Canis lupus familiaris: one gene and its partners. The protein of the gene in region 1 binds, or shares a complex with, the protein of each later gene. Links are inferred from orthologs where the notes say so. Each region holds a gene or a part of one and is shown in the gene's direction. Other genes may lie near its edges.

What was found.
Region 2: the proteins of GABARAP (region 1) and KBTBD6 are in contact, whole or in part, in a crystal structure (PDB 4XC2), measured with the Homo sapiens proteins. The link is inferred for Canis lupus familiaris from reciprocal best matches to the Homo sapiens genes GABARAP and KBTBD6. Residues at the interface, in NP_009209.1 of Homo sapiens: Tyr5, Glu8, His9, Glu17, Ile21, Tyr25, Arg28, Pro30, Val31, Ile32, Leu44, Asp45, Lys46, Lys47, Lys48, Tyr49, Leu50, Val51, Pro52, Leu55, Leu63, Arg67, Phe104; in NP_690867.3 of Homo sapiens: Ser663, Asp664, Asp665, Asp666, Phe667, Trp668, Val669, Arg670, Val671, Ala672, Pro673.
Region 3: the proteins of GABARAP (region 1) and CALR are in contact, whole or in part, in a crystal structure (PDB 3DOW), measured with the Homo sapiens proteins. The link is inferred for Canis lupus familiaris from reciprocal best matches to the Homo sapiens genes GABARAP and CALR. Residues at the interface, in NP_009209.1 of Homo sapiens: Glu17, Ile21, Tyr25, Arg28, Pro30, Val31, Ile32, Lys48, Tyr49, Leu50, Val51, Pro52, Leu55, Phe60, Leu63, Ile64, Arg67, Phe104; in NP_004334.1 of Homo sapiens: Asp199, Trp200, Asp201, Phe202, Leu203, Pro204, Pro205.
Region 4: the proteins of GABARAP (region 1) and WDFY3 are in contact, whole or in part, in a crystal structure (PDB 3WIM), measured with the Homo sapiens proteins. The link is inferred for Canis lupus familiaris from reciprocal best matches to the Homo sapiens genes GABARAP and WDFY3. Residues at the interface, in NP_009209.1 of Homo sapiens: Glu17, Ile21, Lys24, Tyr25, Arg28, Pro30, Lys46, Lys48, Tyr49, Leu50, Val51, Pro52, Asp54, Leu55, Leu63, Lys66, Arg67, Phe104; in NP_055806.2 of Homo sapiens: Glu3342, Lys3343, Asp3344, Gly3345, Phe3346, Ile3347, Phe3348, Val3349, Asn3350, Tyr3351, Ser3352.
Region 5: the proteins of GABARAP (region 1) and STX17 are in contact, whole or in part, in a crystal structure (PDB 7BV4), measured with the Homo sapiens proteins. The link is inferred for Canis lupus familiaris from reciprocal best matches to the Homo sapiens genes GABARAP and STX17. Residues at the interface, in NP_009209.1 of Homo sapiens: Tyr5, His9, Lys13, Glu17, Lys20, Ile21, Arg28, Pro30, Lys46, Lys47, Lys48, Tyr49, Leu50, Pro52, Leu55, Gln59, Phe60, Phe62, Leu63, Lys66, Arg67, Phe104; in NP_060389.2 of Homo sapiens: Ala169, Glu170, Ser171, Trp172, Glu173, Thr174, Leu175, Glu176, Asp178, Leu179, Glu181, Leu182.
Region 6: the proteins of GABARAP (region 1) and TP53INP2 are in contact, whole or in part, in a crystal structure (PDB 8T31), measured with the Homo sapiens proteins. The link is inferred for Canis lupus familiaris from reciprocal best matches to the Homo sapiens genes GABARAP and TP53INP2. Residues at the interface, in NP_009209.1 of Homo sapiens: Tyr5, Glu17, Ile21, Tyr25, Arg28, Pro30, Val31, Ile32, Lys46, Lys48, Tyr49, Leu50, Val51, Pro52, Asp54, Leu55, Gln59, Leu63, Arg67, Phe104; in NP_001316358.1 of Homo sapiens: Glu31, Val32, Asp33, Gly34, Trp35, Leu36, Ile37, Ile38, Asp39, Leu40, Pro41.

What each region holds. Positions count from the first base shown.
Region 1 is NC_049226.1:32,414,291-32,418,085, reverse strand, and holds GABARAP (gamma-aminobutyric acid receptor-associated protein), read left to right. Parts: upstream 1-1,197; 5' UTR 1,198-1,316; coding exon 1,317-1,406; intron 1,407-1,965; coding exon 1,966-2,044; intron 2,045-2,188; coding exon 2,189-2,307; intron 2,308-2,805; coding exon 2,806-2,871; 3' UTR 2,872-3,295; downstream 3,296-3,795. UniProt on the Homo sapiens protein: Ubiquitin-like modifier that plays a role in intracellular transport of GABA(A) receptors and its interaction with the cytoskeleton.
Region 2 is NC_049243.1:9,450,968-9,454,945, forward strand, and holds the start of KBTBD6 (kelch repeat and BTB domain-containing protein 6), read left to right. Parts: upstream 1-1,178; 5' UTR 1,179-1,563; coding exon 1,564-3,705; 3' UTR 3,706-3,978. UniProt on the Homo sapiens protein: As part of the CUL3(KBTBD6/7) E3 ubiquitin ligase complex functions as a substrate adapter for the RAC1 guanine exchange factor (GEF) TIAM1, mediating its 'Lys-48' ubiquitination and proteasomal degradation.
Region 3 is NC_049241.1:49,649,563-49,653,745, reverse strand, and holds the start of CALR (calreticulin), read left to right. Parts: upstream 1-1,383; 5' UTR 1,384-1,465; coding exon 1,466-1,556; intron 1,557-1,920; coding exon 1,921-2,022; intron 2,023-2,201; coding exon 2,202-2,405; intron 2,406-2,828; coding exon 2,829-2,923; intron 2,924-3,013; coding exon 3,014-3,223; intron 3,224-3,302; coding exon 3,303-3,416; intron 3,417-3,505; coding exon 3,506-3,649; intron 3,650-4,183. UniProt on the Homo sapiens protein: Calcium-binding chaperone that promotes folding, oligomeric assembly and quality control in the endoplasmic reticulum (ER) via the calreticulin/calnexin cycle.
Region 4 is NC_049253.1:31,496,260-31,499,759, forward strand, and holds part of WDFY3 (WD repeat and FYVE domain-containing protein 3), read left to right. Parts: intron 1-674; coding exon 675-835; intron 836-1,947; coding exon 1,948-2,177; intron 2,178-3,292; coding exon 3,293-3,402; intron 3,403-3,500. UniProt on the Homo sapiens protein: Required for selective macroautophagy (aggrephagy). Acts as an adapter protein by linking specific proteins destined for degradation to the core autophagic machinery members, such as the ATG5-ATG12-ATG16L E3-like ligase, SQSTM1 and LC3.
Region 5 is NC_049232.1:57,222,230-57,226,167, forward strand, and holds the start of STX17 (syntaxin-17), read left to right. Parts: upstream 1-1,138; 5' UTR 1,139-1,204; intron 1,205-3,938. UniProt on the Homo sapiens protein: SNAREs, soluble N-ethylmaleimide-sensitive factor-attachment protein receptors, are essential proteins for fusion of cellular membranes.
Region 6 is NC_049245.1:24,279,633-24,283,649, forward strand, and holds the start of TP53INP2 (tumor protein p53-inducible nuclear protein 2), read left to right. Parts: upstream 1-1,217; 5' UTR 1,218-1,407; intron 1,408-4,017. Other genes in the region: PIGU (phosphatidylinositol glycan anchor biosynthesis class U protein), read right to left, coding at 980-1,109. UniProt on the Homo sapiens protein: Dual regulator of transcription and autophagy. Positively regulates autophagy and is required for autophagosome formation and processing.

The sequences.
Region 1 (3,795 bases):
ACTCCAAGGGCTGGGCTGTGGGTGGGGAACTGGGATTTTGGGCCACTGGATTTTCCCCAAACTTGTCCCCCTGCCCCCAACCTTTCCCTCTACATTCCCTTCTTCCTATACTCTCAGACCTGTAACCGGCGCGCTCTCTTTTTCTTTCCTCTCTTTTAAACCATGCATTATAACTTTGAAACCAAAGCTGCCCTAGGTCCTTCTCTCAGGGTTGGGAAATGAGGGGAGGAGTCTTTGTTCACATCCACCCTGGCTCCCCAAAGCGGAGGCCGAGGCCCGAGGGTCAGGGAGCAGCGGTGCTGGCTCCGGAGGAAGGAGCAGGGAACGAGTCGACCTTTGGTGGGAAGGGTCTCGGCCGCAGGATGAGTGCCCTGGGTGGGGTCGGAGGGACAGCCGTGGGTCCCGGCGAACCAGAGCTGCAGGGCAGGAGGAAGCCGCGGTCCGTGAGCAGGCGCACCGACGTGGACGCAGAGAGTGCCCCGGCCCTCGGCCCCGCCCCCTCCCCTCCCGCCGGCGCCCCTCCCCCCGCGGCCGGCTCTACTTCCCGCGGCCGCCACGTGACGCTCCGCCCTTCTCTGAGATCACATGACTTTTCGTTGCTGCCAGTGCCGAAGGTGTTCCTCCGCGCTGACGTAGTCCCTACCTTTCGGACCTCCTCTCCGGTCCCCATTGGTCCACTCCTCCTGGGAACCTAGGCGTTCTGTGCGTTTCTGCGAATACCTGTTTCGTGTCTGCCCTCCTTTCTTCCCGGAGATCCAGCTTCTCCGTTTGGGTACTACTTTGTTTTGGAGTCAGCAGCCGCCTTCGGCGTACCGACGCGTTTCGTGAATAGCTGTCCTTAAAATTCTCTGCTTCCCCCCCTCCCCCTTTTCACCTTGTATCCGAAAAGACTTTTCGGAGCACCAAGCCTCAGAATACAATCGGCAGTTCCTAGCCCTTGTGGTGCCCAGCTCGGTGGGGCACGGCGGAATGTGGGTTTTCGGTTATTTTCGACCATAGCCCAGACCAACCACCTTGGCTACGTCGGCTGCGTAGCCCTCAAGCTGATTCCAAAGCGATTACGCAGGCAGCGTGAGGGGGGCGGTCAGTAGGTGGTGCTACGCCGGCGGCGTGAGGGCCGTTACGCTAGTAGCGTAACCCAGCGGGCGGGGCGGCCCCGACGGCCGGGGGCGGGGTTGGTGAATAGGGAAGTGGCGCAAGTCCCGGGATCGCTCCGCTGAGTCCGCCCGCGCGTCGCCGCCGTCGCCGCCGCCCCCCGTCCCGGCCCCCCCCCGGGTTCCCTCAGCCCAGCCCGGTCCAGCCCGGTTCCCGGGAGGATGAAGTTCGTGTATAAAGAAGAGCATCCGTTCGAGAAACGCCGCTCTGAGGGCGAGAAGATCAGAAAGAAATACCCGGACCGGGTTCCGGTGAGAACCATAGCCGGGGCCGCGGACGCGGGGCGCTGGCTCTGACGCCACAGCCCGGCTTGGGGTCCGGCGAGGCAGCGAGGGCATCGGGCTGCTGGCGGGGGTGGCCGGGGACCGGGCCAGGGGCTATCGTGTCCGGGAGCGGAGGTTGGAAGGAGCGGGGCGGCGAGGGAGCTGGGGGTGGGGGGCCGCGGCTGGCCGAGGGAGACGTGTGGAGTGCTGGGGAGGCTGCAGGGAGTTTGACAGTCGGGGCTTCCCATGGCCACCTCCCAGCTGGCCGGCTCGTCGAGGCCGACGCTGTCGTCGGCTCGCACGAGCCATGCCTGCCTAAGATCCTCGTTTATTATGACGCCCAGCCGGGGGATTCAGGATATCGAGGTGAGCCTGACGCTGCGGGGTCAGGATGCCTCTGCTTGAGGCTGCACCGCGTGTTCCCAGACAAAGAAAAACGAGTTGGATGGCTTGGGGTGCTAGCAGTTTTGTTTCTGGAGTTCTCGACGGGGTGACTGTGGGGCTGTCCCCCCTCGATGCTTCCTAATTTCCGTCTTTCTTTTTATAGGTGATAGTAGAAAAGGCTCCCAAAGCTCGGATAGGAGACCTGGACAAAAAAAAGTATCTGGTGCCTTCTGATCTCACAGGTGGGAACCTGACCCAGGACCCAGGTTTGCTGCCTGTGCGTGGGGGTGCAGTGTCGGTGGGAAAATGCTGCCTCCCCGTAGTGACTGCTCTTCTGAGGCCTTTTTTGATCCCTGTGACTTTATCGTATCTTGTCTCTTTGGCAGTTGGTCAGTTCTACTTCTTGATCCGGAAGCGAATTCATCTCCGAGCTGAGGATGCCTTGTTTTTCTTTGTCAACAACGTCATTCCACCCACCAGTGCCACAATGGGTCAGCTATACCAGGTATGGTGACTGGGAAGGAGTCAGGGGCTCCGCAGAGGTGTTGGAAGAGATTTTCAGGTCAGCAGTTCTTGGACTAGCTGGCTGGCTCTCAGTTTTACGTGTGACCTCAAAATTTTGAGGGTAGTCCCAGGTTGAGGGCTTGGATAAAGGTATTGGGAATAGAGGTGAGAACTACAGCAGTGCTTTGGATCCACCCTCTTGTCCACTTTCCCCACCATCCCAAGGCAGCAGATTTTGTGATCATGGTATCTCCCCTGCCAGGTAAGTATAAGGCAGCAGATTTTGGAACAGTTTGAGATCTTTTTGCCCAGGACTGCTGCCAGCGGTAATCTTGTTGGCTGCTAAGGCCTGGAGCAAATGAGTGAGTATGAGTCAGGGCACTAGCGTTTGGGGGTCTTCAGAAAGAACGGGCTTTCCAAAAAACGTGTCTGGGCAGTGGGTGGTTCACGTGCCCACAGCCCCGACGTCTGAGTGCCATAGTTTTCTGCCTCCATCCAGGAACACCACGAAGAAGACTTCTTTCTATACATCGCCTACAGTGATGAAAGCGTCTACGGTCTGTGAAGCTGCTGCCCCTGACGTGGGGGGGGGTCCGGTTCTACAAAGACAGAGGTGGCCCCCATCCTCGACCTACTCCTTCTTTGGGCTCATCCCTCACCTCCCTTTGTTGGGACCTGCACTTCCTAATGTTTGAGGCTCTCCTCCAGCCCTTCTCAGCAGGAGGGCTCATGGGGGAGGTGGCTTCTTGGACCTCTCCTTTCTCCCCTTCCTCTTCGACCTTTCCCACTCTGCTCTAGACTTCTTGATTGTCCGTCTCTGTCACATCCGGTGATTGTTTTGGTTTCTGTTCCCTAACTGCCCAAGGGGCTCAGAACCCCAACATTCCCTTCCTCTCATTACCTTCATTTTTGGGGGTAGAGGGAAGGGACTGAAATTGTTGGGGGGAAGGCAGGAGGCACATCAATAAAGAGGAAACCACCAAGCTGAACTGGATTTTACTTTGTGTTGCTTCCCGCCCCTTTTTTCCTAGTTGTCCTCTGGTGGGGAGAGTGGAGGTTGGAGGGGCAGTAATCCTACATTCTGGTTTATTCTGTTGATATTGGGTTACTGCTTGCGCAAAAGTATTTTTGTTGTGATCGAATACTCCCAAGTATCAGGTCATGAAACTATACTTTTATATACTTGTGTATTGGGTCCCAATGTAAAAAATACAGTGGCTTTTGTTTTTTTACTTTGGGTTCCTGGGGAGAAAGTAAGTATCCACTTTAGATAAATGCACCCAAGTTTGTTACAGCTTTTGGATGAAAGAAGAGATTTTCGTGCGTGGGAGCCAGTCAGAGGACTCTGTCCTGGGTTGCATCTCACTTGACCAGACTTGGTGCCAGTGGGTGGAATTCAAGGGAGCGAGAAGGGAGCCATTATCATCAGGAGAACTTCATCCCCCAGCAAGCATTTCTCCGCCTGGCCGGAAGTGGGGCGGTCCCCCGG
Region 2 (3,978 bases), on another chromosome or scaffold:
AATAGGCTACACATTGTCCAGTTTCAACTATACGACATCCTGGGGAAAAAGTTAAAACGAGACAGCAAGGAAAATCAGTGGTTTCTGGGCGGGCGCGGGTGGGTGGGAGGGCAGGGAGAAGGAAGCATACAGGGATGGAACACAGGGAATTTTTATGGCCGTGGGGGCTGTTCTGTAGGTCACTGTAATGGTGGGCCCGTGACCTTACACCTTCTGCAGGACCCTCGCAACTGCACCCAGGAGCGGAACCCAATCTCAACAGCCCGCTGTAACCCACGATGACCCGGTGGCACGCACCCCCGGAGGCGAGGTGTCGGCCAGAGGGGGGACCGTCAGGGGGTGCGGGGGGTGGCGGCTCCCCGTGAAACCCAGCTCGATCTTGGGGCACCGGAAACTGCTCTTAAAAACCAACTCAAAAAAAAAAAAAACCCAAAAAACAAACCCAACTCAATCGCTAAAAAAGAAAAGAAACAACAACAACAAACAAAAACACCCCCGACTTTAAATCCAGAAGACACAACGGTGGTTGCCAGGGAAGAAGGGGGGGGGATGGGCGAAAGGCGATGGAGAGGACCCTTATCCTGATGAACACCGAGCAACCCACAGAATCACTGAAATCATACACCTAAAACTAATCTTTGGGGAAAGGAAGAAAAAAAGAATGTATTACAAAAAGGCGGGGGCGCGGAAGGGGCGGCATCTCTGAGGAAAACCTGCAGGGCTCTCGATTTTTTTCCCCCCCACGGGCTCCTACATCTCAAGAGGGAGCGCTCGATGATCTCCTAAACGAGCAAAGAGAAGCTAAAGGGCACCCGACCTCCACCTCACGGGCGCCGCGAGAGTCTTTATCAGCCTAACCCGCGACTGTGCAGTCCGAGCATCCTTATTTAACCTACGCAATTCACGTCGTCGTCGTCACACGGCGCTGGGACACACCGTCGTTATTCACATTAAAAAAAAAAAATAAAAAAAAAAAACCGTCCCGAGCGCGGAGCCCAACAAGGTGGCAGATACGAAAACCAGGAGGGCTAACCCGGATTCCAGGCTCAAAGTTCTAAAGCATAAAAGCGAACGGCCGAAAATTAGCGATTTCTAATTCCGTCGGCCGAAAACAATGAACGGCCGATAAATCTCGCGATGCCTATGGAAACTACCACTCCCAGCGTGCACAGCGGCTCCGGGCCATCCGCCTATCCCCTGGAGTCTGGAGGGGCCCCGGCATGCCTCGGGGCGCGAAAGGCAGCCTGGGAGCCGTAGTTCCGCTGGACGCCTACCGGTATTGCCAGCGCGGCAGTGGCGGCTCTCTCGGTTCCGTCCAGCCGGGTTCTGTAAGGCGAGCTGAGGCGGAGAAAAGGGCGCGGAACTGGAAGCGGGTGAGTCAGGCGCTGGCTACGTGATAAAGGGAGGCGGCACTGCGGCATACGGCTGGATTAGGTAAATGGACCCGTGCTGCAGTCTCTCCGGAGACGCCGCGATCTAGCGCCCGCGCGAAGAGGGCGAGGAGGAGCCCGCGCCCGGTCCGTGCACCCGTTCTCGCCCTCGTACCCCGCCGCCATCTCCACCATGCAGTCCCGGGAAGAGGCTCCGCGTTCTCGCCGCCTGGCCAGTCCCCGCGGCGGCAAGCGGCCCAAGAGGATCCACAAGCCCACGGTCTCGGCTTTCTTCACGGGCCCGGAGGAGCTGAAGGACGCGGCTCACTCCGCAGCCCTCCTGGCGCAGCTCAAGTCCTTCTACGACGCGCGGCTGCTGTGCGACGTGACCATCGAGGTGGTGACGCCCGGCAGCGGGCCCGGCACCGGCCGCCTCTTCCCCTGCAACCGGAACGTGCTGGCGGCCGCGTGTCCCTACTTCAAGAGCATGTTCACGGGCGGCATGTACGAGAGCCACCAGGCGAACGTGACCATGCACGACGTGGACGCCGAGTCCTTCGAGGTGCTGGTCGACTACTGCTACACGGGCCGCGTGTCGCTGAGCGAGGCCAACGTGGAGCGCCTCTACGCGGCCTCCGACATGCTGCAGCTCGAGTACGTGCGGGAGGCCTGCGCCTCCTTCCTGGCCCGCCGCCTCGACCTGGCCAACTGCACCGCCATCTTCAAGTTCGCCGACGCCTTCGGCCACCGCAAGCTGCGATCCCAGGCCCAGTCCTTCATAGCCCACAATTTCAAGCAGCTCAGCCAGATGGGTTCGATTCGGGAAGAGACTCTGGCGGATCTGACCCTCGCCCAGCTGCTGTCCATCCTGCGCCTGGATAGTCTGAACATAGAGCTGGAGCAGACCGTGTGTCATGTGGCCGTGCAGTGGCTGGAGGCGGCTCCCAAGGAGCGCGGACCCAGCGCTGCGGAAGTCTTCAAGTGTGTCCGCTGGACACACTTCACTGATGAAAATAAAGATTACCTGGAGGGGCTGCTGACCAACACCATTGTGAAAAAGTACTGTCTGGACCTTATCGAGGGGGCCCTGCAGATGCGCTATGGTGACAAGCTGTGCAAGGCTCTGGCGCCCAAGCCAGAGACCAGCAGTGGCAGCTGTGGCGGCGGCAGCAGCAGCAGCGGTGGCAGTGGCGGCGGCAGCGGCAGCGGCGGCAGCGGCGGCAGCGGTGGTAGTGGGGGCAGTGGGGTTGGCAGCGGCACCAGCAGCAGCAGCAGCAGCAGCTCCTCTGTTGTACCCATAGCTGAAAACCCACCCCAGAGGCTGGGCGTGTGTGCTAAGAAGATGGTGATCTTCTTTGGACATCCTAGAGATCCCTTTCTGTGCTGTGACCCATACACCGGCGATATTTACAAAGTGCCCTCGCCTCTGACCTGCCTTGCTCACACCAGGACTGTCACCACCTTAGCTGTCTGCGTCTCTCCAGACCACGACATCTACCTGGCCGCGCAGCCCAGGAAGGACCTCTGGGTGTACAAGCCAGCCCAGAATAGTTGGCAGCAGCTGGCCGACCGCCTGCTGTGCCGGGAGGGCATGGATGTGGCCTACCTCAATGGCTACATCTACATTTTGGGTGGGCGAGACCCCATTACCGGTGTTAAGTTAAAGGAGGTGGAGTGCTACAGTGTCCAGAGAAACCAGTGGGCACTGGTGGCTCCGCTACCCCATTCCTTTATATCCTTTGATCTAATGGTCATCCAGAACTATCTTTATGCCCTCAACAGTAAGCGCATGTTCTGCTATGATCCGAGCCACAATATGTGGCTCAAGTGTGTTTCCCTCAAGCGCAATGACTTTCAGGAAGCCTGTGTCTTCAATGATGAGATCTACTGTATCTGCGACATCCCCGTCATGAAGGTCTACAACCCAGTCAGGGGGGAATGGAGGCAGATTAACAATATTCCCCTGGTGTCGGAGACCAACAACTACCGGATAATCAATCACGGCCAAAAACTGTTGCTGATCACCTCTCGCACCCCACAGTGGAAGAAGAACCGGGTGACCGTGTATGAATATGACACTAGGGGAGACCAGTGGATCAACATAGGTACCACCTTAGGCCTCTTCCAGTTTGATTCCAACTTCTTTTGCCTCTCAGCTCGTGTTTATCCTTCCTGCCTTGAACCTGGCCACAGTTTCCTCACTGAGGAAGAAGACGTGCCGAGTGAATCTAGCACCGAATGGGATTTAGGTGGATTCAGTGAGCTGGACTCTGAGTCAGGAAGTTCAAGTTCTTTATCTGATGATGATTTGTGGGTTCAGGTAGCACCTCAGTGAAATGCACAGGATCAGCAGAGTTTGTTGTAGATAGGTTGAAACACTAAGGTGTTTTTACTGCTTTGGAAAGTGTCTTAAAGAGATGCCCTTTCTCTTTGCTGGGAAAAAAACAACAACAACACAGGTTGATTGATTTCAGGTTTGGTTTAGAAAGGGTATTGTTTGAAATACTAACATAATTTAATGTTAGGGAATTTATACACAAAGAAATCAACCTATTTAATAATTTACTGTTCTAAAAGTCCAGTATTGATTTGATTGTTGGGTATGTTT
Region 3 (4,183 bases), on another chromosome or scaffold:
AGTGGCAGGCTTGGAGTGATCACCCCAGATTGGCTCCTCATGCAGGTTGAGTGATACTGGATACTGCCTGGGGCAGAACCCCAACTTCTCCAAGACTCCTCATTCTTCTCTTTTCTGAGTCTCCACCACTATCAGGGAAGCACGCCTTCCCTGCTTTTTTGCCAGGATTCCACCCCCTTCCCCAGTCCACTTCCAAGTTCCCAGGTCCAGGGCCTGTTTGCTTAGAGTTTGGGAAACCCCCAGAGCGCCTTCCTGCTTCCTGCAGCTTGGGGGGAGGGACATGGTGTCAGTCACGTGCCTCTGGCTTCTGAGCGTCTAGACTCAGGGGTCCTGCCCATCTCCCTCGGACCTTATCTTCCCCACCATCTGTCTCATTTTTTTCTTTTTTAACGGAACCCCCCTCCTCTCCTCTTTAGCCGTTTAATTGCAAAAGTCAGGCCGTTTGTGGGAGACCACAGGCAGCGACCCCTTTACCGGCTGAGGGAAGGTTTAAAGGAGAGGCTGCAATCAGACAAACAACGCTACCAAACTCTAGGAGCCACAGCCTATAGTCACATCTTTGTCTTCTAGGTTTCCTTTCTTCTGTCCCAGGACAACCCTAACAGTTTTGAAAGCGGCTCTGTAGAACGGCACCTAGCCAAGGATGCTCCTCCTAGCCTCTTCGGGGCTCCTGTGATTTCAGAGGCTAAGTGACTCGTCCCAGTCACTCAACAGCAGTCTGACAGGCTGTCAGGGCACTAGGGACCACTAGGGGCCAGAGAGGAGAGAGCTGGCACTGAACTCTCTGGCCTGCAAGGCTGTGGCTCTGGAGTGAAATGAAGATCCAGAGCCCCAGCCCCTGAATTCTGGTGCCTTCTGTCCCATCCTGGCCTGGGGCGGGGGAGGGCGAGATCGAGAGCGAGCGTGTGGGAATAGGGGCTCCCCAGCTGCAGAGTAGAAAGTGGTTAGGAAAACCTGGCCCACACCTCCTCGCAGAGGGGATAAAAGAGGGCGAGCTGGAGCGGGGTCCAGGTCCTGCGAGGTGACACGGGCACTGGCGCGCGTTCTTTAAACGCCCAGACCAGGAGCTAAGCGCGCGGGCAAGGGCGGGGTTGGGTCGAGGTCTGGTCACATGACCTGGGCAGAGGGGCTCGAGGCCCCCACCACACCGGTGGGCGGCCCCCACAACGCGTGGTCGACCTTCATTGGCCAGCTGTGTAGCCAATAGAAATCGGCCATCTGGGAACCCTGCGTTCCGAGGCACAGCCTAACATGCTCAGACGACAGCGGTCCAATGGAAAGTCAGGGTCGTGGCCGCAGACCAATGATAAGGTGCGGAGGGCGGGACAAGAGGCCGGGCCAGGTTGGTTTGAGGGGCGGTAGGGTATAAAAACGCGCGGCCGGCGGTAGCGTCCGTCCCTACTGCAGAGCCGCCGCCGGAGGAGAGGTTTAAAGGGCCCGCGCGCCGCCGCCCCCTCGCCCCGCCATGCTGCTACCCGTACCGCTGCTGCTCGGCCTCGTCGGCCTGGCCGCTGCCGAACCCGCCATCTACTTCAAGGAGCAGTTTCTGGACGGAGGTAAGGCCTGGTCCGGTCTCGAGGCCGCCCCGACGACGAGGGCGGCCCCTCAGCCTAGATCTGCGTTGTCCCCTGTAATTACTGCTTAGAGGACCAATACGGTGGCCTCCAGGGACCAGAGCCGCAGGCGATCCTTCCTTCCATGTCCCTGGGGAGCGTCGAGGGTACAGCGGACTCCCGCGGCGGGAGTTAGGGTTCGCCGGAGGAGCCCTTAAGTCATCGAAGATGTCAAACTAGAGGTTGGGGTGGGGTCAGTCAGGGGATATCTCCTTTCCAGTCTTCAGCAACTTGAGGCCATTGGCAGATAGCTATTCGTGGGGAGAGGTCAGTACGGCCGCACTGACCTGCCCCTTTGATCCCCTAGACGGGTGGACCGACCGCTGGATCGAATCCAAACACAAGTCAGATTTTGGTAAATTTGTTCTCAGTTCCGGCAAGTTCTACGGTGACCAGGAGAAGGATAAAGGTAAGAGCCTGGGACGGGTGGATGTTGGGATTCAGGAGGACTTCCTGGAGGAAGCCGTGCATGTCACACAGCGTGGGTATCCCCATGAGCAGGAGGAAGGGGCAGTCTTCTTTGACTCCAGTGCTTAGGGTCCTTGGAGCTTGGGGCTGAGCCATGACCTCACTATGGTCTCCTGCTAGGGCTGCAGACAAGCCAGGATGCCCGCTTTTACGCTTTGTCGGCCAGATTTGAGCCCTTCAGCAACAAAGGCCAGACACTGGTGGTGCAGTTCACCGTAAAACATGAGCAAAACATCGACTGTGGGGGCGGCTACGTGAAGCTATTTCCAGATGGTTTGGACCAGACGGACATGCACGGAGACTCTGAGTACAACATCATGTTTGGTGAGGGACCCCGCCCTGGCGCTGACCTTTGATTAGTTGGAAGGAGACCTAAATCTGGGTTCCTTAAGGGCCACCACAGGTAGTGTTGAGAACATGGGAAGATACTTGTGTAGTTAAGGCTTGTCTTTGCGAGGAAGGCTGAGGACATTGCATTGTTACTATTGGTCTGAAACTTGCAGTTCACGGGATTTTCTGTAGCTATTTCCAGTGAGGGCATTAAATTCCAGAGGTGATATTTTGTTCTTTCTGTTTTTCCTTTTTAAAAGGCTCCACTTTCAGCTCCTTAGAACCAGTCAGGGTATGATTCTTGTCCTGTAACCCTTTACAGATCTGCATTTAAGAACCAAGCCTTCTTTTGTAAAGGTTGGGAGCTTTACAGTGGTGGGCAGTTTCTTGCTCTAACTAAACCCACTTTTTACCTAGGCCCGGATATCTGTGGCCCCGGCACCAAGAAGGTTCATGTCATCTTCAACTACAAGGGCAAGAACGTCCTGATCAACAAGGACATTCGTTGCAAGGTGTGACTGGGGGTGGTGACAAGTGGCTGATAGGGAAGCCTCAGAGGCCAAGCCTGATGGGCGGGGCCATTCATCTCCCACCCTCTTCAGGATGATGAATTCACACACCTGTATACGCTGATTGTGCGGCCGGATAACACCTATGAGGTGAAGATTGACAACAGCCAGGTGGAGTCAGGCTCCTTGGAGGATGATTGGGACTTCCTGCCTCCCAAGAAGATAAAGGATCCTGATGCTTCAAAGCCTGAAGACTGGGACGAGCGGGCCAAGATTGATGACCCCACAGACTCCAAGCCTGAGGTTGGTGCTTGGGCAGAAGCTCCCCATGTGGAAGGTGTAGAGGACAGCTGGGTTGACTGACCTTTTTGTGTTCCCTCAGGACTGGGACAAGCCTGAGCACATTCCTGACCCTGATGCTAAAAAGCCAGAGGACTGGGATGAAGAGATGGATGGAGAGTGGGAACCACCTGTAATTCAGAACCCTGAGTACAAGGTGAGCTTGGAGCTCTGAGCAGGGTGGGAGCGCACAGTGGGGAGCACACTGACCTCCACTCAACCACTGGTTCCCTTCCCCTTCTGCAGGGCGAGTGGAAGCCCCGGCAGATTGACAACCCAGATTACAAGGGCACTTGGATCCACCCAGAGATCGACAACCCTGAGTACTCTCCTGATAGCAACATCTATGCCTATGAAAACTTTGCTGTTCTGGGCTTAGATCTCTGGCAGGTGAGACACAGAAGGGATTCATGGAGCACTTCAAATGTTGAGAGTCACTAAGGAGGAAAGGGATGATAAATGTTCAACCCCAGGCAGCTCTGAGCCAAAACTGGTGCTTTTCTTGAATAATATTCTGGTCTGTCTTTATGGAGTTCTCACGGCACCCAATTTGAGGTTCAGCTTACGTGCCAGATACCTTTCTAAGTTCCTTTATGCAAACAAACTTTTTAACTGCCTTCAACAGTTAGAAGTTGGTTAGATACCCCTGGCACTATTTTTCTAATGAGATTATCTGTCTGACTTACTTGGTAGAACATGCAACACTTGATCTCACAGGCATGAGTTCAAGCCCCACGTTGGGAGTAGAGCTTACTGGAAAAAAAAAAAAAGTAAATAATAAATGTGACTACTAGAAAAAAATGGTTCCTCTGAAATGAAATGTTTTAAAATTTTGTCAGTTTTATTCACTAGTAAACAATCTGTGTCTGGAATGGTGTCTGGCATGTAGTAGGTACCAGAAAAACATTTGAACAAGATATTGAG
Region 4 (3,500 bases), on another chromosome or scaffold:
AATCACAATCAGTGGGGCTCCAGAATATAGGAAGGGGGAGCTTACAGAGGGCATTTTGTTAGGAAGATTAGTGTTAAAGTGGTATGGACACAGCAAACACGCTGAAGGCACTGGAGTAGCTTTTTGAAGAGAAACAGTACTGAAGGTAATCGTGGAGGGAGGAAGAAGTGCCCCTTTGGCCCCACCGGCACTGATTGTAGTTTATTTTTCACAGTTGTTCTGAACTTCTCCTGCATATATTACTTCATTGTGCTCAAAGGTACATTCAGAACTAGAGTTTTGCTTGATGACTTGTTTTACCCTTTATTAGTTATACAGAATCTATTCACAGCAAATAACCTGACAGCTTTTTTTTTTTTTTTCTCAGAGATCCTCTGTCATTGCTAGTTTAAGTTGAGGAACTATTTGCTTATCACAGACATTCTCGAGGCAGTAGGAGACTTCATACTCTCAGTCTATAACTATTTTATCCTGCAGAAATGGTTTCTTCCAACTTTTGTCGTCATTTCTGGCCATGAACATCATTTTCTTAAAGTAGTACATAAGAGCTAGTAGTCTTATTTTTTAATGTAGTAGATGAACTCATTTTGCCTTAGTTTCATTTATTGGAGGTTCTGGTCTTCTGCTGGTTGATAACAGTTTCTTAGATTCTTTTTTTTCCTGCTCAAATTTAGGGGAAGATGCATCCCTGCCTATTACCAGTGGAGGAAGCTACCAGGTATTGGTGAACAATGTGTTTTATTTCACACAACGTGTGGTGGACAAACTTTGGCAAGGCATGTTCAACAAAGAATCTAAACTTCTTATAGATTTTATAATTCAACTAATTGCACAGGTAATCTATTGTCACTATTAGTTTTAGAGTACATATTTTCTTATTGAAAAACTTTTCCTAATGTGTCAAAATTATTGGAAATAAATGTAACTAATAAGATAATGTTAACATTTAATACAAACAAAGCTCAGCTTGTTGAAAGTGAGTAAAAACCATAGACTTCTAACCCTTCCCCTCCTTACCCATAGGGTGGTACCAGCGTGTCCCTGTAAAGTTGCCTAGTTCTCTTAAGCTCTGGGCTCTCACTGGCTTCCCCACTGGTATTGCTCTTTGCTACCCAAATACCTGGGTAACTTTCTTATGGTTTAAATATGGTTTTAAGTTAATACAATTTGATGACTTGGTTTTTTTGTTTGTTTTTACAGTATGCTACATTTGTATGTAAAGGTTTACAGAGCACAAAGAGTTGATATGAAAGGAATATTTTCTTCTTATAATTAAATCTTCACAGAGTTCATTGTAGTTCTTTGAAGGTGTCATTTTAGTGAGCGAGTGGGTGTGTGTGTGTGTGTGTGTGTGTGGTACTTTTGACTAGGAATGTTGGCCTGGTTTGCCACAAGTGATTAATCTTATTCAACACATAGCGTAGAAACTAGAAAATACTGTTACCACGTGTTATTAGCATATGGTGCATAGGTTCTTTCGTGTCATCTAAGAATTTTTTAAGAGATAAATTTGTGTTTAAGCCAAAGAAAAGTTTACAAGTGAGGAAATCAATCTAGAATGTCAAAGGTTTTTTTACTAACATTTTAGATTTGGTTGTTTGTTTGTTTTTCTCAGTAATTGTGAATAGAGATCATTCACCCTAACAAAACTTTTGTTGCAGGAGATTCTCCTTAGATTACACTTCCATATGTACTCAGGCAGGCTGCTCTGCCTACAGGAGTTTTAGCAGCTCTCCTCAATGGGGCATGTGGTTTTCATCTCATTAAATTATACTTATGTGTCTCTTGGGTTCTGAACCTCATAATAGCAAGAGCTTTTTGGTTTTTAACTTAGCACCTTGTATTGAGCATGGCACCTGGTATGTAATAAAGCTAATATTTATATGTGAATGATAAGCAGACCATTTGTTTCTATTTTACTAAATAAAGTATCTTTCTTACCTTTAGTCAAAAAGAAGATCACAGGGATTGTCACTTGATGCAGTTTATCACTGCCTCAATAGGACCATCTTGTACCAATTCTCACGGGCACACAAAACCGTTCCACAGCAAGTAGCTCTCCTAGATTCGCTCAGGGTACTGACTGTAAACAGGAACTTGATCCTGGGACCTGGGAACCATGACCAAGAATTCATTAGCTGTCTGGCTCACTGCCTTATTAATCTACATGTTGGAAGGTAACTTTTTCACATTCAGTTTGCCACCGTGAATTTGTCATTCCACCAAAACTCTGTCCTACTTTTTTGATAGTAACATTTTTTTCCTTTTAATCTCAGTTTTAAAACTTCATGGAAAATATAAACACAAGGGTAACATTTTTGCAATAAAAGAATGAGTATTTTTTCTGTAATTTTCCATGTCTTTAAATTGGTCATTAATCACCTTAAGTCATGTATGTAATTTTTTTTAAAAAGTTTACTTTTAAAATAAACAAAGTATACAATGTTGGAGGTTAAGAGGGATAAAAAGGAAAGAATAATGAATAAATGCAGTGGTATATGTTAAATGGGCGTAATTAGTATTTTTCCTTGATTCTTTGACAGATACTTATTTAATGTCTGGACATTGAATTAGGGACTGGGATAAAATGTGAGCCAGAAAGACCTCATGGCAGGGTCTTGGAACATGCAGTCTAGGAGGGAAAATAGACAACTAAGCCAGACCAGGCAAAGTGTGCTAAGTGCGCTAAGTGCTCTGCTGGAAGCATGGCTCTTTGGGTGCATGGAACAGGTGCTCCTACCTGGAAAGAGACACCTGCTGAGTTACAACTTGAATGTGTTTGACAAGGAGGTTAACTCTCCAAAAAGGATGGGAAAGTGATGTAGGAAGAAAGAGCCATCTATGTGATTGCCTTGGGGGAGGAAAGCATATGGCACTTTCGGGAAACTGCAAATTTGTCACTGCTCCTGGAGCAAAGGGTGATGGGAGAGAGACTGAGGGGAGGTGGTGCATAGGCATATGAGGAAAATGTTCTTAGGAACTTTGTAATTTTTAGGTAAAAATATTAATCATGATCAAAAAACACCTTAAATATTAAGATGCTCATCTTGATGCTGTTGTTTAGTTTAATTACATTTAGTCAAGTGGATTTGTGAGATCATTCCTTTAAAATGGCATTTTCATGATAAAGTAGTAGTTCTGTTTTGTGCACCTGCCAAATATCTGTCTGCCAATTATAGAACTTTGTGATAGAGCCAGCATTTACTTGTGTCTGGAGAGTTATACTTAGTCATTATGGTTTTCAGCTATAATCATTTCCTTCGTATAGTTTAAACTGACTGGAATTTTTCAGCAATGTGGATGGGTTTGGACTGGAAGCAGAAGCCCGCATGACTACATGGCACATTATGATCCCCTCTGACATTGAACCAGATGGTGGTTACAGCCAAGATATTAGTGAAGGTAGTTTGTTTTCTTCCTTTTTTATTCCCCATTCTCCCCATTTCCAATTTTTTTTTTAAGAGAGAATGAGTGTATGAGCAGAGAAAGGCAGATGGAGA
Region 5 (3,938 bases), on another chromosome or scaffold:
TGCCTATCAAGGCTTTCTCAGAGGCCCCTAATTTTGTCTATAATCTCCACCTCTTCTCCCACTCACTTGGGAAACCTTAAGACCTGAGTTTCCTGAGCTGTGGCCTGAACATCCTGATGACTGTCTGAGGATAATATTGTCAGGGGTCACATTCTAGACAGGTCATCTGAACATTCACAAACACTTAAGAAAGGCTGGGTCTGGAAGTTAGGTCATGGGACCCGGACAGAGCTTCAAAGCCAACCATCTGCTTGGTCATTGGTAGCAGCTGGTAACTGGAAGAGCTTGAGAGGGAAATTAGGAAACCCAGTGGAGTTCCCAGCTCTGTCACTAAGTAGCTGAACTGAGTGAGTCACTTAAAACTCTTTGTTTAACCTCAGCGTCATGATCTATAAAATTGGGATAAGGACAGTAGCATGGTCTCCCCCGGCTTTGATGGGAAGGAAAATCACAACTCATCCGAGCTTCAATTTCTGCACCTGTTACCAGTTGTTAAGATTTGCGTCCTGTCCATCTCACGAGGTTTGGGGGGGGGGGGGGGGTGCGGTGGTGAATGAGAGAAGGCACAACCTTTCGGAGTTTCAGTTTCTGCATGTGTAAAAAGCTCAGAATGCACGGCCAGCCTGCCCATAAAATTCCTGTTTAAACAGGAAAACAGGGCAGCCCGGGTGGCTCAGTGGTTTACCACCGCCTTCAGCCCAGGGCCTGATCCTGGAGACCCGGGATCGAGTCCCACGTCGGGCTCCCTGCATGGAGCCTGCTTCTCCCTCTGCCTGTGTCTCTGCCTCCTTTTGTCTCTGTGTCTCTCATGAATAAATAAATAAAATCTTAAAAAATAAAAAAAAGTAAACAGGAAAACAGACAGCAAACTTTGCAAAAATGTAGAAAGCTATGCGTGTGTGAATTACGTCCTACTGAAAAGACAACAAGCAGACCTAAGAGGTGATTGTAGGTCTCTTTCCTCCTGGCTCCAGGGCTGCAACCCCGCAAACAGACGCCAAGCCCACTTTCTTCAATCCTCCCCGCGGCCGGCAGCCGTCACGGCGTCGGCGGCCCCACCCGGCAGGGCTCCTGCGGGCCGGGAGGGGGCGTGGCCCGGGACCGCCCCGCCCCTCGCGACGCCCCGCCCCCTGGCGACGCCCCGCCCCGCCGCGCCCGCGCTTGCGCCGTGCACAGCCAGCGGCCTCGAGCGCCCCGGCGGGAGGTAAGGGGTTTGCGGGAGGCCGCCTCGGGGGCGTCAGGCCCGGACGGGCTTTGAGGGCCGGGCGCTGAGCCCGCGCGCCGCAGAGGCGCCCCCTGGGGAAGCCCGGCCTCAGGTCCCGCGTGCCCGCGCTTGGGAGGCTCCTCCCGGCTCCCCGAAGCGCCGGTTTCGTTTCTGGAAGCTCTTTGCGAAGCCGGTGTGGGGAGGCGGCCTCCCGGGGTCGCGGGGTGCGAAAGTTCCCTGCAGCTGCCGTGCCCGCGGCGCAGGCTGGGCCCGGGGCCGTCGGGGTCGCCCGGGTCGCCCGGGGGCGTGGTCCCAGGCCGCCCGCGCATCCGTTCTCTGGTTGGGGCGGCGGGGGTGGGGGGGGGCGCCGTGGGGCTCGGGGGCCCGCGAGGGGCGGAGGACCCGGACCCGGAGCCGGAGCCGGTGCTTCTGGAAGCTCCCGCAGCTGCGCCCTCGATAAGCCCGGCCTGGGAGGGCTCAGGCGGGAGACCCAGGGAGCAGCAGGGGCCGTGACCTTGCCTTCCAGAGTCCCCGGGTCAGGAGCTCGGGGAGGCCTGCCTGGGGCCCGTGTGGATCCCTGCCCTGGGAGGCGGCCGCTCGTCGCTCTGGGGGACGCCGAAGGTCGCTGGCACTTGGGGACTTTTTCTGAGAAATGGGGCTTTTTAACTTATACAGTAAATAGTCTAAATCATGTAGTAACCCCCCCCCCCCCCCCAGTACTTTTTTCTCACGGGAAACAGGAGTAGTCATGGTACCCAGGTGATGATAGTAGTCGTAAGCCCCGAAAAGGGTCAGGGTCGTTTGTAGAGCACCTGCCCCGCAGGCCCCCGCCAGTGTTAGTCTAAGTGACCCGTTTCCGGTGAAACATCAGACCTTCCTAGAGAGTCTTTTTATTCTTGAAATGATTTTCCAGTTACAGAGAGGTGGCAAAAGTAACAAAGGTCTCTGCAGCCCCCTTTAATGTTAACACCTTATATAACCATAAGTACAGTCATAAAAAATTATAAAGTATCATTGGTACGTTTTTTTGTTTTAAGATTTTATTTATTCATGAGAGACACACAGACATAGGCAGAGGGAAATAGCAAGGCTCCCGCCGGATTTGATCCCAGGACACCAGGACCACAACCTGAGTCAAAGGCAGACTCTGAGCCACCCAGGCGCCCCTCGTTGGTACAATTCTAGTGACCAAATTGCTACCTTTTTCTCGGATTTCCTGACTTTTTTATACTAATGTCCTTTTTTCCCCCCTATTTCAGGATCCAGTATAACATCCCACATTGCATTTAATTGGCATGGCTCTTTAGTCTTAAGTCTTTCCTAACCTTAACGCTTTTGAAGAATCCTGGTTAATTATTTAGCAGAGTGTCCCTCAGTTATGTTTTGTCTGGTATTTTCTTTTTCTTTTAAGATTTTATTTACTTATTCATGAGACATACAGGGAGAGAGAGAGAGACAGGCAGAGGGAGAAGCAGGCTCCATGCAGGGAGCCCAACGTGGGACTCGATTCCGGGTCTCCAGGATCAGGCCCTGGGCTGAAGGCGGCGCTAAACCACTGAGCCCCCCGGGCTGCCCCTTGTCTGGTATTTTCTTACAATTAAAGTTAGGCATTTTTAAAGTTATGCATTTTTGTTGATACCACAGAAGTGGATGTACCCTTCTCAGTCCATCCCACGAAGGGTTCATGTTATGACACACTGCTTTTGGTATTACTGTTGATCACTTGGTTGAGGTGTCTGCCAGGATTCTCTAATGTAAATTAACTGCTTTCCCCTTGAAATGAATGGATATCTTGAGTTTCTAAACTATGCAAATATGTTGTTCTCCTCAAACTTTCAGTTGCTGATTTTACCATCCATTGGTGGATCTTGCCTTCAGCAATGATTACTATTATGTTCTAATGGTGATTTTTTGTTTCCCCTCATTCCTTCTTTTATTTTTTTATTTAAGATTTTATTTATTTATTAACGAGAGACACAGAAAGAGAGAAGCAGAGACACAGGCAGAGGGAGAAGCAGGCCCCAGGCAGGGAGCCTGATGTGGGACTCGATCCCAGATCCCGGGATCACACCCTGAGCCAAAGGCAGGCACTCAACCGCTGAGCCACCCAGGCGTCCCCATTCCTTCTTTTATTAATTGGAGTTCTGTAAGGAAGGCTTGCCCCTTTCCATTTGTTTAGTCAGTTATTTTTTTATATAAGTATGAACTCATTTATTTTACTTTTTGGTTATTTTTGTTATTTATTTATGTCTCAGGTTGTTCCAGCCTTGGCCCTTGGGAGTTTTTTCAGGTTGCTTCCTTTTGACAGGCTTCCATCTCTCTTTGAGAACTTCCTTACTTTCTAGCACCATAAGATGTTCCACGTTTATCTTGCGTTTTCTCTGCCCCAGTCCTGGATCACCCACTTCTCCAAGGATCCGTGATTTCCTTTTTTGGAGAGTGGTATTTAAACACCAAGATCAGGGCACTTGGTGTGCTCATTGCTACTAGAATATTATTGTTTGTGGTTCTTTGCAGAAAACAGCTAGGACTATATGTAAATATATATTTTATTTTTATAAGTATTTTTCCTTTATATATAAATAAAATATATCATTCTATTTATTACTTATGTAATTATGAAAAATTAAGTATTATATTTTATTTATATCGTTTGTTATGTTTATTTGTAAATATATGTTTCTTAGCTATATACATATATATCCACATATTTCATGGATACACAAAGATTTGT
Region 6 (4,017 bases), on another chromosome or scaffold:
TTTTTTAAGATTTTATTTATTTATTAGAGACAGAAAGAGAGAGAGGAGATAGACACAGGCAGAGGGAGAAGCAGGTCTCGATCCCAGGTCTCCAGGATCACGCCCTGGGCTGAAGGCGGTGCTAAACCGCTGAGCCACCCGGGCTGCCCAATGAGCGTCTGCCTTTGACTCAGGGTGTGATCCCGGAGTCGCAGGATCGAGTCCCACATCGGGCTCCCTGCACGGAGCCTGCTTCTCTCTCTGCCTGTGTCTCTGCCTCTCTCTCTGTTTCTCATGAATAAATAAATAAAATCTTAAAAAAAAAAAAAAAACTGGAAAGGGAGAGAACACTTTCTCGAAACTCCAAGGAAGGAACGGGATGTACACTGAACATTTTTCAAAAAGGATTATAACTACCTGTCTCTCCCACTAGCCTGTGGATCCTTCAGCACAAACTCTCATTGTAGGCGCTGGTAGAAAACAGTGCCTGATGAAGAACTTAAGAACAACCAGTAGGAAATGCTGCACGGCAAGCCCCAGACTGAGAACAGGCGTCTAAGCACACTCACACACTCTACTCGCTTAGGCAAAATTGGTCCCCTCTTTGGGGACTCCCCTCACTCACTGGACCATACCCCGGGGAGAACCACGTGCGATCCTTCATCATATCCCAATCCCTTCTGCAAATCCCACCCCACCCAGCACTCCCTTTTCTTACACCTCTTCTTCCTCAGACCACGCCCCTCTGCTCTGGACCCGAGTGAGACACACCCCCTCAACTCCCCACAGCTCAGGTGAGCCGGCCCCTAGGGCCCAAACCTAGCCCCACAGTCCCACGCCCCCTCCCTTTGGCAGCCCCGCCCTCTCGCCCTCTGAGGACGCCAGAGCCGGTCAGTTCCTTCAGAATCTTGAGCTTGAGGCCACTGCCCCCGCCTCCCATTCACTGAGGCCAGGAGAGCACAGGCGGGGCCTGGCCACCTACTCCAGCCAGTGGCCTCACCTCTCTTCCAAGAGCTCAGTGGGGACACCACCTCCACCCGTTCAGAAATGAACTCGGCCAGACTGGAGCGGAACAAGGCCGCCCGCACGGTCACGGCCACAACCACCACCAGAGCCAAGGGAGCCGCCATGATAGCTGGGGCGGGCGCGCAGGCGGGAGGGAAACGCGAGGCGGAAAAGCCAAGCGAGCGACCTGCGCGCCACCCTCTGTAGTTCCGCGGTCAAGCGCGCCTCGCTGCTGCCGCCGGAGCGCCCAGACTGGGGACTACCGCTCCCAGGATGCCTTGCGGCGAGACGGGGCGGGGCGACGTAGAGCCGGGCGTCTCAAGCTCGTAGCAAAGGATTGCGCGACGTCTCCTAAGACAGCAGGTGTATCGTAAAAGCCCTCTGTGCTGCCGAAAGTAGACACGGGAAGGTGTATCTTCCTAGGTTAGTGAGCAAGTATTGAAGAGTTGTTAGTTTCATTCTTGTGTGTATGTTTTCAAAGTTAGGATGTTTCCTTTTATGCTTTTAAAGAAAATTAAATATGTATTCATTTATGTATTCTACAACTGTTTGTTGAACAACGGCGCTATGCCAAGCATTTTATTGGGTTCTGAAGATACATTTTGGAGTATAGATTTATTTGCTCTGCAGCCTTGAACAAGTTAACCTTCCTGTGCCTCAGGTCCCTCATCTGGAAAATATGCCTGCCCATCCGTATGGGCTCGCTAGAAACGATTGAGGAATGCCTAAGAAATTTTGCAGGTCCCTTATAAGCCATTATCAAAAATTAAATTATATAAACTTACAGTTAAATAAGTTATATTAAAACAAGGTAATAAATACTCAAAACGCATTATTTCCTAATTATTTTACTACATTTTTGTTTTATCTGTGCTCTTGAGGTTATTTACTACTGCTATATTACTATGGCAAATACTGTATGATGGTTGCTGCTGCCCATCAGCTCCCAAATTGGCGCTCAGTGATGTCACGTTGGTAGCTTGAAATCTCTCTGGATGAGAGTGTTTACACTACAAGCACTACAAATCAATTTTGGACTTTGGAGAGCTCGTTGAAAAGCATTAAGTGGCACATCATTAATTAATGTATGAAAAGTACTTATGGTGAGTGCTTAACTGTTAGCTATAATAATATTAAATTAATATATAAGGAAAGTTCAGGTCTGTGAGTAATATGAAACAGGTTGTATGATCAAGAATAACTTGGTGGAAGTGTGTTGGTAACACTGGACAGGGTGGTCAGGGAAGGCTCTGGGAAGACATGACATTTGAGCTGAGACCCAAAAGATGAGAAACTAGTCAGAGCTGACATGTGAAGGAAACAGACTCTGATTCAGGAAACAGCAAGATGTGTTTGGGAAAGAAAACAAGTGTGTTCCAAGTGGAGAGAGTGGTAGTGACCAATCAGGGACCTGTTTGCCATGGTTGAGAATTTGGACTTTATTCATAGTGTAATCCATATGCCACTGGAGGATTTTAAACCAAAAAGTGATGTAGTCAAGTGTGCATTTTTAAAAGATCACTAAAAAATAAATAAATAAAAATAAAAATAAAAGATCACTATATCCTCCAGCCCTATACTGAGTGTTGGGGAATCTTGCAGTGACAAAATTGCACCCAATGCCTTTATGGAACTTGGAGATGTGATAGTCTTAAGAATAACACAAATAAAAGTAAAATCACAAATCATAATGAAAGGAAAAGGGGGAGCAAGATGCTAGGAGAATACAAAAATCAGCCTTGGAGCTGATCGATTTCTTGACCAATGGGAGGGGTGGGTTTTCAGTGGAAGAGGTAATCATGAAACAATAGAAAAGGCACCCTCATCCTTTGAGCCCTGTTCTGCCAAGCACTGTGCCATACTTTTAACACACATGAGCTTATTTAGTCTGATAACCTTCCTTTCTAACCATATAAGTGTTGCTATCCTCTTTCACATTAAAGGAGGAGATATATGTATTACATCATCATAAAGTGTATTATATCATGAAAAGTGCAGGTTATTATAACACAAACCCATAATGAAGATTGAACAAGATTATGTAATGTAAAATGGTTAGTACATACCAAGTGCTTGATACGCATTATTTAGCTGTTTCATTATTGTTTACATTATCCTAATAGATGACTTAAACATTCTTCGTAGGGTGAAAATTGTCTTTGGGAAGAACCATTATAGATAGACCCAATCTGTTGGTTCTTAAACATGAGTTTCCATGGATCATAGACCTAAATATTAGAGCTAAAACTATAAGACACCTACAAGAAACCTGGGAGTAATCTCCATGACCTTGAATTAGAAGGTTTTTTTTAGGTACAACACCAAAAGCACAGACAACAAAAGAAGAAATAAATAAATTGGGTCTCATCAAAATTAAATAATAGCAAGTATTGGTAAGGAAGTGGGGAAATTGGAACCCTCATGGTGGGCATGTAAAATGCTATAGCCACTTTGGAAAACAGTTTGGTAGTTACTCAAAATGTTAAACATAGAGTTGCCATACGACCCAACAATTCAACTCCTAGCTAAAATCCAAGAGAAATACAAGAGAAAAAAAGAGAATCCAAGAGAGAAACATATATCCACACAAAAACTTATACTTGACTGCCCATAGCTTGTTCATAGTTATTATTTATGATACCTAAAAAGTGGAAACAAAACAAATATCCATTTTGTTTGTTATGAATGGATAAACAAAATGTGGTCTATTAATGGACTATAATTGGGTAAAAAAAAAAGCATTGATACATGCTACAACATAGATGAACTTTAAAATATGCTAAATAAAATAAGCCAAACACAAAAGGCCACATATTATATAATTCCATTTATGTGAAATGTCCAGAATAGGCAAATCTATAGTGACAAAAAGCCAACTTAGTGGTTGTCTAACGCTGGGGTGGTTGAGGGGGTGGGAATAGGAAATGACTGCTAAGGAGTACAGGATTTCTTTTCAGGATGATGAAAATGTTCTAAAATCAGATTATACAATTCTGTAAACATACCACAACCACTGAGCTATATACTTTAAAT